Linked DNA regions of Caenorhabditis elegans. The protein of the gene in region 4 purifies or fractionates together with the protein of the main gene of each other region. This does not show direct contact. Each region holds a gene or a part of one and is shown on either strand. Other genes may lie near its edges.

The links.
Region 1: the proteins of gst-7 (region 4) and hphd-1 fractionate together in Caenorhabditis elegans (co-fractionation; one large-scale study listed by BioGRID). This does not show direct contact.
Region 2: the proteins of gst-7 (region 4) and ZK1307.1 fractionate together in Caenorhabditis elegans (co-fractionation; one large-scale study listed by BioGRID). This does not show direct contact.
Region 3: the proteins of gst-7 (region 4) and dbd-2 fractionate together in Caenorhabditis elegans (co-fractionation; one large-scale study listed by BioGRID). This does not show direct contact.

The regions. Positions count from the first base shown.
Region 1 is NC_003280.10:12,993,792-12,998,100, reverse strand, and holds hphd-1 (Hydroxyacid-oxoacid transhydrogenase, mitochondrial), read left to right. Parts: upstream 1-1,756; 5' UTR 1,757-1,853; intron 1,854-1,904; 5' UTR 1,905-1,908; coding exon 1,909-2,020; intron 2,021-2,095; coding exon 2,096-2,163; intron 2,164-2,212; coding exon 2,213-2,295; intron 2,296-2,349; coding exon 2,350-2,941; intron 2,942-2,992; coding exon 2,993-3,304; intron 3,305-3,354; coding exon 3,355-3,472; intron 3,473-3,521; coding exon 3,522-3,634; 3' UTR 3,635-3,739; downstream 3,740-4,309. Other genes in the region: Y38F1A.8 (Serpentine Receptor, class T), read left to right, coding at 1-1; Y38F1A.7 (uncharacterized protein), read left to right, coding at 297-399, 449-534, 797-1,057. UniProt on the Caenorhabditis elegans protein: Catalyzes the cofactor-independent reversible oxidation of gamma-hydroxybutyrate (GHB) to succinic semialdehyde (SSA) coupled to reduction of 2-ketoglutarate (2-KG) to D-2-hydroxyglutarate (D-2-HG).
Region 2 is NC_003280.10:9,653,843-9,657,366, forward strand, and holds ZK1307.1 (Amidinotransferase), read right to left. Parts: upstream 1,739-3,524; 5' UTR 1,690-1,738; coding exon 1,681-1,689; intron 1,577-1,680; coding exon 1,284-1,576; intron 1,227-1,283; coding exon 1,151-1,226; intron 1,098-1,150; coding exon 861-1,097; intron 814-860; coding exon 589-813; 3' UTR 503-588; downstream 1-502. Other genes in the region: ZK1307.2 (uncharacterized protein), read right to left, coding at 1-29; gstk-1 (Glutathione S-transferase kappa 1), read left to right, coding at 2,907-2,975, 3,158-3,524.
Region 3 is NC_003280.10:4,561,368-4,564,029, reverse strand, and holds dbd-2 (DB domain-containing protein), read right to left. Parts: upstream 1,081-2,662; 5' UTR 1,080-1,080; coding exon 927-1,079; intron 838-926; coding exon 580-837; 3' UTR 570-579; downstream 1-569. Other genes in the region: M03A1.8 (ascorbate ferrireductase (transmembrane)), read right to left, coding at 1,561-1,704, 2,320-2,483, 2,528-2,607.
Region 4 is NC_003280.10:4,880,305-4,883,913, reverse strand, and holds gst-7 (putative glutathione S-transferase 7), read right to left. Parts: upstream 1,823-3,609; 5' UTR 1,796-1,822; coding exon 1,663-1,795; intron 1,111-1,662; coding exon 623-1,110; 3' UTR 556-622; downstream 1-555. Other genes in the region: gst-8 (putative glutathione S-transferase 8), read right to left, coding at 28-160; gst-6 (putative glutathione S-transferase 6), read right to left, coding at 2,929-3,416.

The DNA.
Region 1 (4,309 bases), 8.1 Mb from region 4:
AACTTTTTATTTTTTCTGTAGATTTTAAACCTCGATTTCAACGGGTTCCCCAATCCAGTGTTTGTACATATAGTTTACAATTTTACAATCAGTGAATAAAAACGTGTAATTTGTATTAAAAAATATTTTATATTTTGAGAAGAGAATGAGTTGGAACAACAAAAATAATCTGACGTGGATATATCCAAATAAATGGAAATAAAATGTATTTCCAAAGTTTTCACAATTCGAGGAGGATGTCTAACCTCACTTTCGTCAGAAATAGCTATTGTGAGTTTTGAAAAAAGTTACAAATTATGGAGCCACTACTGCTCGACTTGGAGCCAAAACTCCTGGACTTCAACATCTTAAACCTTGGATTTTCAGATCCTCAAAATGGCCCGTACAGTGATGGATTGAGTGAGCTTGTCCACAATATCTCATACTCTAACAGTTCTGAAAATTGTAGGTGTTGTGACTGGTCAAGTTCAGGAGACAGTTGACGTTTTTATGGCTATTATCCTGGTCATGATTGTCATTTTTCTAGCTGTTCATGTGAGTTTCTGGCTACAAGATTATTGTGTTGTGGAATATGAAAATGCCTGCCTACTTGCCTACGCCTTCGACGCCTGAGCAGGAATTTTTGTTTTTGAGATATTTTGAACTACAATTTATCGTTTTTCTACGTTTTTCATATCCAAAAGTTCTTGTTCCTTTTTTAAACAATTGCAGGCACGTACTGTAGGCACATAGGCTAGCGTTTCTCATGCACACAAAAAAATTTTACCAAAAATCTATCTAATTCTCTCTTTTCCAGCTCTTCATTCGATTCCACTACAAGGCAAAAACCGAGTATGCCCTCAACGAGCTGCGGGAGAAATTCGACAAAAACCCCAATGGTTCATCTGCATTTGCTCTGCCAAAGGATCCGAAAAAGGCAGGTGATTCTGCTCCAAAACCAGTTGAGATTTTGATGGAGCCGGAGCAACTTGCTCCGATGGTTCACTACATTGCAATGGCGCCACCTGGAAAAGCGGAGCAGCCGAACAAGAATGTCTTCTACAATGCGAATCCGTGAAAGCTCAGAAGTGAACTCGATGTCTAGTTTTTATTTTATTTTTTGTTTATTCTAGTGTTTTTCTGTTGTAAACTATGGATGTGTAATAAATGACTTTGGAGGCTGAAAACAGCCATAACCATGAGAAAAGTTGGAATCCTGAAAAATCTAGGGCGGGGGAGACTGCCAATTTCAGAGACGTTTTGACAAATTTAGCGATTTTCTGTTTTTCTTCATGATCTAAAATTTGTCATTTTCCAACTCTTACTAATCTCCGAGTTCGAATCTCGTACAAGATTACAACTACAAGCTTCTACCAGCAACTGAGCTCATGTGGTTCATAGCTTCAGCAACCCGTGAGACGTCGGCCCGTCCAAGACAACTGAAAGAATAGTCTTGCAGCCGACACTTTCCGGGTTCAAATACTAATTTAGAAACCTGTAAATCTTAATTTTTGGAGCGCCTCTAGCAGCCGACATCTTGCTGGTTTCTGAAAAAAAAAACAAGATTTCAAAAGCTGAAATTAGCTTGCAAGCCAAAATTTCAACTTTTGTGCCCACGAGTCTATTCAGATCAAACCATCTTCCCCTCACATTAATGTTCGAAAACTGATCACTGCTGTTTGCCCGTCTGCGTCTCTCCTCTCTCCTCCATTCCACTTGTTTTCTTCTCTATTTCTCCACGTGTTTGTACATAAACGTGATAATAATTATTGTTGGCGCGATTTATTTATTGAATTTAAAAATTAAATTCTTTAAATAAAAACCTTACGAATCAATTTATTTCTCGATTTCATTGCGTTTACGACATTTTATTTGTGAGTTTTTGTTGGCACGTGGCAATTGTTTTATACTTTTCTTTTTTTCAGCAAAATGAGTGCAAGTCTGGCACGTGGAATACTGAGCAAGATGGGCGGCTCATGCTGTCCTCACCATGCCCCAGCTACAAATCCATTCAAACTTGCAAAGCTTCATGGAAATAACAGTTAGTTTTTTACCCGAGCAGGCACGCAGGTAGGCGTGCCTGCCTGAAAACTTTCTAAAAAACCAATATTTTCAGAGTCAACAGATTACGCGTTCGAGATGGTGTGCTCAACTCTTCGTTTCGGAAAAGGAGTCACGTTGGAGGTTTGCTAGCAATATCACACATCACTAACTCAACTGTGAACTTTATCAGATTGGATACGACGTCCGTAATCTCGGAGCAAAGAAAACGTTGCTTATCACTGATAAGAATGTGCAGAATACGATCGCTTTTAAGTGAGTTATAGGAAAGCTTTAAAGCTCTAAAATTATTCAACAGACAAATTTTAGAAACGCCGAGCAAGCCTTAAAAATGGTGAATATCGAGTATGAGGTGTTTGATGATGTGCTCATTGAGCCAACCGTCAACAGTATGCAGAAAGCAATCGCATTTGCCAAATCGAAGCAATTCGATAGTTTCATCGCTGTTGGTGGAGGATCTGTGATCGACACGACGAAGGCTGCAGCTCTATATGCTTCTAATCCAGAAGCGGACTTCCTCGACTTTGTTGGACCACCATTCGGAAAATCCATGCAACCAAAGAACCCAATGCTCCCATTGATCGCTGTGCCAACAACTGCTGGAACTGGATCCGAGACTACCGCGGCTGCAATCATGGATCTTCCAGAGCACAAGTGCAAGACTGGAATCAGACTTCGTTGCATCAAGCCGTACTTGGCAGTTGTGGATCCGTTGAATGTGATGAGTATGCCTCGAAACGTGGCAATCTATTCTGGTTTCGATGTTCTCTGTCACGCGTTGGAAAGCTTCACAGCTTTGCCATTCGATCAAAGATCTCCACGCCCTGAGAATCCAGGAGTTCGTCCACTTTATCAAGGTTCCAACCCGATCAGTGATGTCTGGAGTAAAGAGGCTTTGAGAGTGAGTTGGAATTTCAACCATGAAGCTCTAAATGAATTTATATAATTTCAGATCATTGGAAAATACTTCCGCCGTTCTATCTTCGATCCAACCGACGAAGAAGCTCGTACAGAAATGCTCAAGGCTAGTTCATTTGCTGGGATTGGATTCGGAAACGCTGGGGTTCATCTTTGCCACGGACTCTCCTACCCAATCAGCTCCCAGGCGAAAAGCTGTGTGGCTGATGATTATCCAAAGGAGAAGAACTTGATTCCACATGGACTCTCTGTAATGACAACCGCAGTGGCTGATTTCGAGTTTACAACTGCCGCGTGCCCAGATAGACATTTGATTTCTGCACAGACTCTTGGTGCAGATATTCCGGTATGTAAATTGGCCACCAAGATGGTTCTGAACTAACTAGATATTTCCAGAACAATGCCAGCAATGAGTACATTTCCCGAACTCTTTGTGATCGGCTGAGAGGTTATATGCGAGACTTTGGAGTTCCAAATGGACTGAAAGGAATGGGATTCGAATTTTCTGATATTGGTAGAACACCTCTCTCTAGTTGAACTGCCTTATATTATACTATTTTCAGAAATGCTTACTGAAGCAGCCAGCCACTCCGTCCCAAATATTGCAATCTCTCCAAAGTCTGCGGATCGTGAAATTATCAGCACTCTGTACGAGAAGTCCCTTACGGTTTATTAGTCATTTTTCTTATTGTACTTATTTTATTATTGGTTGTACCATATACGTTATTGTTTCTTATGTTCAATGTAAATGTATTTAGAATAAATAAAGAAACAGAAACAGAAACAAAACAATGGCGCCAGGTGTCACCAGAATAATTAGAATCCTTCACCCCCCCCCCCCGTTTTTCTTCAAGGAACCGTTTAAATATTGCCGGCTTACTGTACTAATTAGGGATGACTAGAGGCGGGGAAGAACGAAGAAACATTACTACGCGACACGCAAACAATCGTAGGAATGTCCTTTGAAGCGCGGCGTGCCGGCATATTTGAATTTTGTTGCTGAAAGCTTTTTGGCCTTGGCTGTTATCAAGGATCTATGTATGTTTTGAGAGAATTGTCGAGAATAGCAGGATTTTGGAGACCAGGTACGGCGATACACTGGGTTCTTTTGGAAATTTGGCATATTTTAAGGTTGAATTTTTTTAGGAATTCGTTGGCAAAATGGTCAATTTTCATATCTCATTATCATTAATGTCATCACGAACTTTTCTAACATTAAACTTAACAAATAATTTTAAAATTTCTATATTTTTGAAAACAAAACTTAGATTTTGAGACTTTGCTAAAAATTTAAAAAAATATTTTTATGGCTTTTAAAATATTTGAAAAATTGATAAGAAGGTTTTTTTCC
Region 2 (3,524 bases), 4.8 Mb from region 4:
ATTCCAGATAATAAAGTAATCTTCTTCATTTGTTGAAATACAGAATATAATATTTTTTCTAGAAATGAATACCACAACAAAATACCCAAAAGAGAGATGAGAAGAAAAGTGATCAGTTGTAACATTACAATTCTAGAATTTCTCAGTGCCACCCTTACCCTCCTACCGGTTCTAGTATCTTTCTCATGTGATTTTTGTGGTTATATTTTCCAATGAAGATCATACAAATTGAAAGCTGAAAAGGTTCAAAACTTATCTGAATTTAAAATTAACTTGAAATTTAACTCGGGAATCCGTACTTTAACGGTAAAGCAGTGAAGTGAGAGAAAAATCAGAATTTTTTTTTTTGAAAAATTTTACGTACAACACTGATTTCTCGATAGCTTCACAATGCTATATTATAATAGCATCTTTTTTACTTGACTCTTTTTGGCTTAAGCTCAACCAAACTCTCAATTTTTTAGACGGCTTTTTGAAAGCCAACACTCCAATTTGAAATATTCCAGTAAACGCTTTATTTATTCAAAACTTCATCAAAGATTCACTATAAAAATTCAAATATCCAGCCATCAATTCATCCTATCACAATTAGAGCAATCTGAGCACCAAGCACTGACAAGCTCCACCACTTTTCATAAATTCACTCATATCAACTTCTTCGACACGTTTTCCACGAGCCGACAGATAATCCTTGGTTGCTTGAGAGACACCGATTGGGGAGATTACGGTATCACGAATAGTGATGGCGTTGCACACGAAAGCATTTGCTTCAGCTTCGGAGACAGCAATCGAGTTTGGAAGACGACGGAGGATCTGCACACAAAAAGTTTTTTAACTAGGGATTTCAAAAAAAAACTCACCTCCTTATTGGTTGCCTCAGAGAATGCAGGTGGGTAGTAGAGGGCGCTGGTCTCATCAACTGGAGCAAAACAAGTGTCCAAGTGATAAAAGTTTGGAAGAATCATATCACAGAGAACAATATCAAAAGTCCCGAGTGCCTTGATTTTCTCGTAGACAGACTTTGAACTACGCTCTCCATAACCAGCCCAAAGAGTTTTACGGTCAGAAAATACAGCATCTCCTCCGCCTTCGAAGATCTGAAATTTTATGTTTCAAAATGGAGAACAAAAATTCTCTGGCAAATTTATACCTCTTCATATCCTTCCCCAATAGTTTTGATATTGTTCTTCTTGAACCATTCCAAGTAGAGTGGTTGCTCACCGCTTCTGTAAAAACATAAAATGTTTCACACACAATTTCCTTTATTCTTTTTTCAAACTCACCTTTCCTTATGCCTGAATCTGGACAAGTAAACCTGATCATCATAGACCAATCCACTATTACAAACGAAAACTTGATCTGGAAGACCCTCTGTTTGCTCCATTGTCAAAACTGGAACACCAGCGTTTTCGATTGCAGATTTCAAAGAATTCCATTGCTGATGAGCTTTTTGCTTGTCAACAACTCCTCCCATCCATGGATTGATTGTGTATTCGACTGTGAAATGCTTTGGTGGAACCATCAACACTCTCTTCAGAATATGGGCAGCAGATTTTGCAGCAGACATTGTTTCAGACTGAAAATTCAATTGTTTAATTAGTTTTCAAAATCATTTTAACTCAAAAAGTAAAACCAGTGTTTCTAATTTCCAAACTGACAATTAAATAGGTCCAAACTCACATCAGACATTATTATATAGCAGGTTCAATATCAAATAACTATTGTTAATAGTCTACTCGAAATTGAAATGATGCACCGAGCTAACTAGTATCTTATCAGTTTTTATATTGATACGATTTGTTATCAAATATTGGTATAAAGGTGTTAGCAGCTAGTCTGCAAAAAGTTCAAACTTTCAAAAATTATAACACCTGACAAAAAATTTAAATTTTCAAACAATTTTTAGTCGTAACTTTAGAAATTTAACAAATATTCAAGGAGGAAGTTGAATGTTAAACTAGATAGTTCAAAAAGTAGAACCAAAAACGCGCGAGAAAATAAAAATAAAAGAATAACAATGTACACCCGTGGTCATTTTATTATCCTCCCTCCTTCTTCCCCGAACCCTTGTAAATCTTTCAATATGTCTTGATGGCCTTATTACGTCACAATACATATTGTGATTGCAGATCTTGATTGATAAAAATTCCAAATGAATTATGATCACAGGAAAAATGTTTTCTCGGTGTCAGGTGCCAGGTGTCAGGTGCAGGTACTCAAAAGACACCGGCAAATGAATTCCAAAGGTTTGTGCTTTGAAAAGCTCCAAAGATCCTTGCTATGCAAAATATGTCAATGGAAAAAGAAAATAAACATTTTTAAAAGAAAGCTTTTATGAAAATTCCATGTAAAAAACGCGAATTGGGACTTTCCAGGTATCCAGAAAAGCTTTAATTTTTGAAAGGTTAAGAAATTGATATACGCGTTTTCCAAATATCCAAGGTATTCTTGTAGTTTCCCCAATGCATCATTCAAACCAAGAGAGCTAGACGCAGAGAAACCAGATTGTCTGTCATCTCTGCGTATCTTTTTCCCGATACAAGCTACAGTGTAGTCTCACGGTGTGGAACAAGTCACCACGTTGCTTTACTTCTCTAGAACTATTATTTTCCCACGTTATTTTTGCATCTATCTTCATTTCCCACTTTCTTATCACTGCAAACCGAACATAGATCACAGTTCGTTGTCTCGAAAACTTATAAAACCACACGGTTGTTTGTGCAATTTTTATTTAATTTTTTAAACGGGTTCTCAAAGAAAAATTGCAGAAAATATAACTTTGATCTACTTTATCGTTCCCGCGAATATTTTTCAAAACATCTTTTCCAAATCTACACTCAACTTACGGATTTTTGTCTTGCAGATTTCCGTTCGCCGTGCCCAAAAATTCGAATTAATTTTGGAAAATGCCAAAACTTCCACGTATCGACTTTTATTTTGACGTGATTTCTCCGTACAGTTATATTGCTTTTGAGGTTGGTTTTTTTTATATACGATATTACATAAAAAACTGTGGTTGTACGCATGTGTCGATGGTTCTCTTATCCTAGGAAGTCAGGAATTTTTTTTGAACAGTGTTACGGTACAATAATATTTTTTAGTTTTAAAATTCGTAAATTTATTATAGTTATAGAAATTATGCAATGATAAATTGCAGGTCTTCCAAAAACTGGAAACCCAATGGAAAGGAGTAACAATCCGTTACATTCCATTTTTCCTCGGAGCCGTCATGAAAGAATCAGGAAATCGTCCTCCAGCAATGCTCCCAGCTCGATCAATTATGATGATGACTGATTTGAAGCGAACTGCAAAGTTCTGGGATATTCCATTGACTCCACCACCATTGTTCATGGAATGGATCAAAAAGTACCGTACTACTGGAGCAATGAAGGTTTTGTTGGTTTTGCAGGAGCAGGATAAGGAGCTGATGCTCCGAGCAGCTCGGGAAATGTGGGTCAGATTGTGGTCTCGAAGTGAGAAGATTTTTGAGGATCAAGACTTTGTGGAAGTATTGAAGGCAGTTG
Region 3 (2,662 bases), 320 kb from region 4:
TGAGCAACTTTCCGTTTTAAGTGCACGCGATTACCTATGTAGGCGCATGTGAAGCCTTATTGTACTACAGTGTGAGCCGCCCCGACAAACACTCGACTCAACAGCTTTTTCCTTCAAATTGTCAAAACAAAACAATACGAGAAAGAAGGCGAGACGTGAAACTTGGGAAAGTTATGTTGTTAGTTGCTGTAGCTTGGGTAAAGTAGTGATTGAGTACTGTATGATTACTGTAGTTTTGGAAAATGGGGGAATTTTGTAGGACATTGCGGAAACATGGAACTAGGTCCTAAATCCGGGCTTTCTACCGGAAATTTTGAGTTTGAAATTTCATAAACTATATTTTCTATTTCACCTGGAAAACTGGGCCCTGTAACGACAATTATGTCTGAGATCGTGGCGAGACCCACTTGGAAAAACATCATGTGCCTTTGAACTGGCAATTCCAGAACTCCGGACAAGCCAATCAAAAGACAAAATAGCTTGGAAAACTGTTAACTTTATCATCAAGTTGATCTTTATTCCATATTATTAAATACACGTTTCATAATATAAAGAAAATTTCAATTATTATATTTCCATTTAGAGCTTCTTGAATGGCTCGTTCTTGTCCAAATGGTTGTAGAAGCAATCACGGATCTCGTTGAAGTTCTCGGTACAGAAAGCATAGTCCAAATAGTTGGATGGAGCTCCCTTATGAGCGGTACAGTACTTGAGGCATTCTCCAGAGACACCGGCCTTCTTGCAGCAGTCCTCGTGGTTGTGACGGAGGGAAGCACAATCCCACATTTCTCCGACAGTTGGTCCACGCTCTCCGCAAGTCGACATGAAGTTCAGAATCTGAAATAAGAACGTGTAATGGTTATTTCTAGTAAGCTGACTAAATACATCAGAATTGACGCGCAACTAGCTCTCAGGAGACAACTTACGTTAGCTTGAGAAAGAGCATTGAAGTCACAGAATCGATCGACGCACTCCTTATCGGCATCCTTCAACGTGGCACAGCATAGCTTCAGCTTCTCATTTGGAGTAGCAGCAAGAGCAAGAAGTGGGAGAGCCAGGAGAATTGCGAAGCGGTTCATTCTAGAATTAATTACTATGAATATAGATATGTTAACTTTGAAAAATAAAAGAAAACTGCAACAGGTGGAAGATCGAAGAAATGAAGAATACACAGCCTATCGGTGTCAAGGCCCGGACTATTTAAAGGGTCACCCGGAAGACTCCACCTCTGACATATTGAGGTCAGGCTGTGATAATAAAAGAGATAAGATATCACTCCCTATCATAACAATCCTATTTCCTAGAACACCAGTCACCATTGTACTTTTATCGGATTTTTTGAGGCCGGTCAATGTTGCGAAAGATGAATTGCATGTAATAATGTATAGACTCTGTTATAAGAAGAAACATATAGAAAATATATATTTATTTTCTAGAAGAGATAGTTGGTGATAAAGTGAGAAAGAGGACACACACAGCCGTTTAATGGATTATTGCAGGTCAGGTCAGAAAGAGAAAAGTGGTTGGTACGAGAATTAGTTGTCATTGAAAAAGAGGTGATTAGTCATTTTTGAATCCATTTGCAATCAGAAGAGATAATGAAATGGCGACACCGAAGCAGATTCCAACAACGGCGAACATCCATGAGATTTGGATAAGTTGAAGACGCTCCGGTTTTTTGGAATTTTTTTCGGATTTTTCGATCTGTAAGTTGTGTCTTTTGTGGAACATTTTTTTGTGTTACAAATGTTGAATTGAAAAATTTGTGACGTTAAAGTTAGTCTTAATTTTTGTAGAATTTTTTGCTTGAAAATTTTAATAAAACATGTTCTTTTTACCTTAAAAATTCTAGTTTTTTTTCTCAAATTTGATGCAAAAAATTGCAATTCAGGTGCTTTGAACATTCAACAAAATTCTGAAAATTAAGAAAAAAATTCTCAAAAAATATTCAAACTTCTTGTGCGCGGGAATTCAAGTTTAAAACATTTTTAAACTCATTTTTCTCACTGTTTACCGAAACTATTAGTTTTACAAATGAGATATTATGTTTTGGATCACTAACTTTTTTAGAAACTTTTCCCCCTTTTCCACACTTCTTTAATACTAAATTATCAATTTTTGTTGCCAATAATTGAAATAAAAATAAATTAATCATTTAATCTCCAGTGATTTGGCCTATATTGCCCGTAGGAGTAAACTACATACGGACTGCTGGTTCATGTGATTCGCAACATGATATGGTATGATCTTCGTAGAAATGTTCTTATTGCATAGGATATTCCAACTTTAGAACTTTAAATGCAAATTGAAAAATCTTACCATTTCAACTTCCCTATACCCATTTCTCTGCTCGCTTTCCAAATACAAAACTACGAATCCTGTGGCGATACACAAAATGGTCGGCACACTGGTCAGCACAATTTCCATTGTTGGCTCTGACCATGTCTTTCGATAATTGGCGGCAGCCACGTAGATTGCGGCCACTTAATTTGTATAAAAAGTTTGAATTCTAGTCATGGAAACTTACCAGCAAAAGTGTAGGAGAGAAGGCCAACAATTCGATGAGCCCAATTAAAAATTGAACGTTGTGAGTTGGAAGGTGGGCATCTGGAATAAATAAAAAGTATAAAATTTTGCTATTTTTTTACAAAAATAAATCTAC
Region 4 (3,609 bases):
ACTTATTGTTAAATAGCTTAAACTCACTTGGTTTGACAGCTGCCCATTCCTCTATTGAAATTCTATGATCCTCAAAGCTTTGTCCAGCATATACAAATATCTGTCGAATAACCTCTCCAGCTCCACGGATGGGGAAATATGATAGCTTGTAGTGGACCATTATTACTACCACTTTTCAAGTAATTGGGGAGTACAAGTCTGTGATACAGTTTGAAATAAAAACCAAGAAGTTTCTATTTATACTCATATTCTCTAAGTGTGTGTGTACTGTTAAGTCATCACTGCTTTGATCGCACTCTGCTGACAACAAACCACAAATATAGTTTGGCGTTATGTCTGTTTCAATGAACTGGTTGAATTAGATAAATGTACATTAAAATAAAGAGTATATTGGAAACTTTAAAGTTTGTCATCATTTACTCTTCCCACTGCGCAGATGTTACTGACAACTCAGTTCAAAAAGTGCCTTTTCATGATGATTCGGATGTCTGAACAAATATATCGGTTGCTTCTGCTATCTTATTTTTTAGAGAACTTTTCAGAATAAATAGATTTCAATGCAATCATTTATCCCATATCAATACAAAAATACATAAAGAGACCATGTGAATTTGGAAATCATTTAGAATGGAGTAACTGGACGAGTCTCCAACCACTTCTTGATGTTGGCATTCGAGTGAACCTTTTCCTGATGAGCCTTGAATTGTGGGAATTCATCGAGAAGAGCTGCGTTGGCAGCCAGAAGATCAGCAGTGTGCTGAGCGACGAGCAAGTCGACAAAGGTCAAAGAGTCTCCAACCAAGTATCCGGATCCAGCCGACTTGAGGAAGTTAGCAAAGAATCCATAGTGCTTCTTGAATCCTGGAAGGAAGACGTCCTTGGCAAGAGCATCGAGATCTCCTTCAGCAAATCCCATCTTCACCATGAAGTATGGACGAACTTCGTTGAGGTAATCCTTGAATTGATCAGCAACCGAGTTGACTTGAGCCTCCTCCCATGCACACTTTCCATTGATTCCGAACTGACGAGCCAAGTAACGGGCGATAGCATGAGATTGGGCAAGAACCTTTCCGTCAACTTCAAGGAGTGGAAGCTGTCCGAATGGAGTGCCTGAAAAATAATATAATTAAAACCTAAAGTTCAAAGTTTTCTTTGAGTAAACAATCATTGACTCCAAACTTCTATCTCTCAGTCATACCAAGCACTTTGTTTACATCTCTAGGTGTCAAACTGCCTAGAGTTTAGCCTTGAATTTTTTTTTCCTTTTTCAAGGTCTATTCATTCGAACACCGAAATTTCAATAACTTTCAAAAAGTAACTCAATAACAACTTCAATCTACTCTAAAGGCAAAAAGGCAATTTGTGTGACCTAGTTAATAGGAACAGGAAAGGTAAGGAATATACCGTACCTGCTACTTTAACGGCTTACATCTCGGTTCTCTTAACTTTTATCAAAAAATGTTTAACTGACAATATTTAAAAGTATATTCTTCACGTATTTTGTCAGTCAAAATTTTTTTGATAAAACCAAAGACAGCTTAACTAAAAGCCTGCAACTATTTCTAAAATGAATTTTTAATTTGGAACTACTTATAAGATTTCAACTAACAATTTCAATATCTATGCACCTATTCAAACAATAATTTTCAATCCCAAACTCACTTGGCTTGACAGCTGGCCATTCCTCCTTTGGGATTCTGTTGTCCTCGAAGTCTTGTCCAGCGTAGGCCAAGATCTGACGAGCAATCTCTCCAGCTCCACGAATTGGGAAGTACGATACCTTGTAGTGGACCATTGTTGAAATAACCAAGCAAGAAATCGAGTGGTCGATGAGAAGGGTTGAACACTGAATGCCGGCCGTCTCTATTTATACCCATTTCTCAAATGTCTGTCGTCTCTCCACTCACCATATTCTGTAGTTTGTCATCATTTGCTCTACACATTGCGCGCACGTTGTTGACTAGAAATCATAAAGTGTAGTCATCGTTTTTTGTTGTTGCAATGTTACGATGAACAGAGTAGGTCAAAATAATATTGGTTGAAAAAAATATATGCAAGGTTTTGTGACTTTTCCAGATCTTTCGAAGGGAATGTTGTGTCACAATTTGTGACTACTCACAAATATAAACCCATGGCATCAATCATCTTGTTACGCTTGCCATTATTATTGAAGATACCATGATAAGAAACTACTATAACTGACACAAAAAGTCACAAAAAATATTTTTTTTTGTTTCTGAAATTTTTCCGACAGTACAACACAATTTCATAATCTCGCGCAAAAGAGGCGTAGGCATTTACCGCAGCCTACGTGCCTGCCTACAGCCTAATTTCTGGGAAGGTGCCTGATGAACAATGATTTCCTATGGAATTTGTCTTTGAAATAATTTAAGTCTCACTTTGAAACACAAACGTGCTTTCTTTTGAGGGTTATACACCTGCCTTTGAAAAGACTATCCTCCAAAAATAAATAAAAGATTACATATTTATTGTGCCCACCGAAATTTGAAAATTCTTATTATGTTCATGTTCCAGAAAACGACGCTTTTGTAATTTTTGACAATAAAAGTCAAATTAACATTATGACGTGATTGGTTTTGTGCTTTGAACATTGTGTCTCACCAGGGAATGTTCGGAAAGTTTTAGCTATGATGGTAAACCACAAAGGAAGGCGGTGTAGGTCTGATTTGTACCTAAAAGCATGCCTACTTCCCAGGCTTTTGTAAATATCCTGTATATTTCAACACTCTTGCAATGCAAAAAGCTTCTATAGAAACATCCTGCTGAAAACTTTACCATAAAATTTTTAAAAGAACAATTCATTCAAGATATTTTAGAAACATCGATTTCCATTAAAACAAATTAGCAAAAAATTGCTTCTTGAAATATGAATTAAAAAATAATACAAAATTGCAAACTCATTTCAATTTAGAATGGGTAATCTGGACGGTTTGCAATATACTTCTGAATTCTGTCGATGCTCTGAACCTTCTTACGATGTGCCAAAACCTTCTTGAACTCCTCAACAACTGCCAAATCTTTATCCAAAATATCTTGAACGTGCTGCGAAATCAAAAGATCCACCCATGTCAAAGAGTTTCCAACAAAGAAACCACTGTGATTAGATGCCAGAATGTTCTCGAAAAACTCGAAATTCTTTTTGAAAGCTGGAACAAAAACATCAGTTCTCAGTTGATCCTTGTCTCCAGGTTTGAATCCAGCAAGAACTGTTAAATATGGGGAGACATCGTTGAGATAATCCTTGAATTGATCAGCAATTGCATCCACTTCTGCCGCCTCGGTGTCATTTTGTCCAGCAATTCCGAACTCTCTGGCCAAGTACCGAGCAATTGCATATGACTGTCCCAATGGTTTTCCATCGACTTCCAAAATTGGCAATTGACCGAATGGAGTGTCTAGAAATTTGAAATTTGAGGAGAAGTGTTTTAAAATAAAATCTAATCTTAATTTTAAAAAAGTATGAAGGTCTTAGAAAATTTTTCGGATTAGTTCGATCTCCAGGAGCGACTTTTCCACAGTGTCCAAGATGTTGTCAGAAAGCACAATTCCATAAAAAGTTTCAAGCATCAAGTTTTCCTCGTACCTACA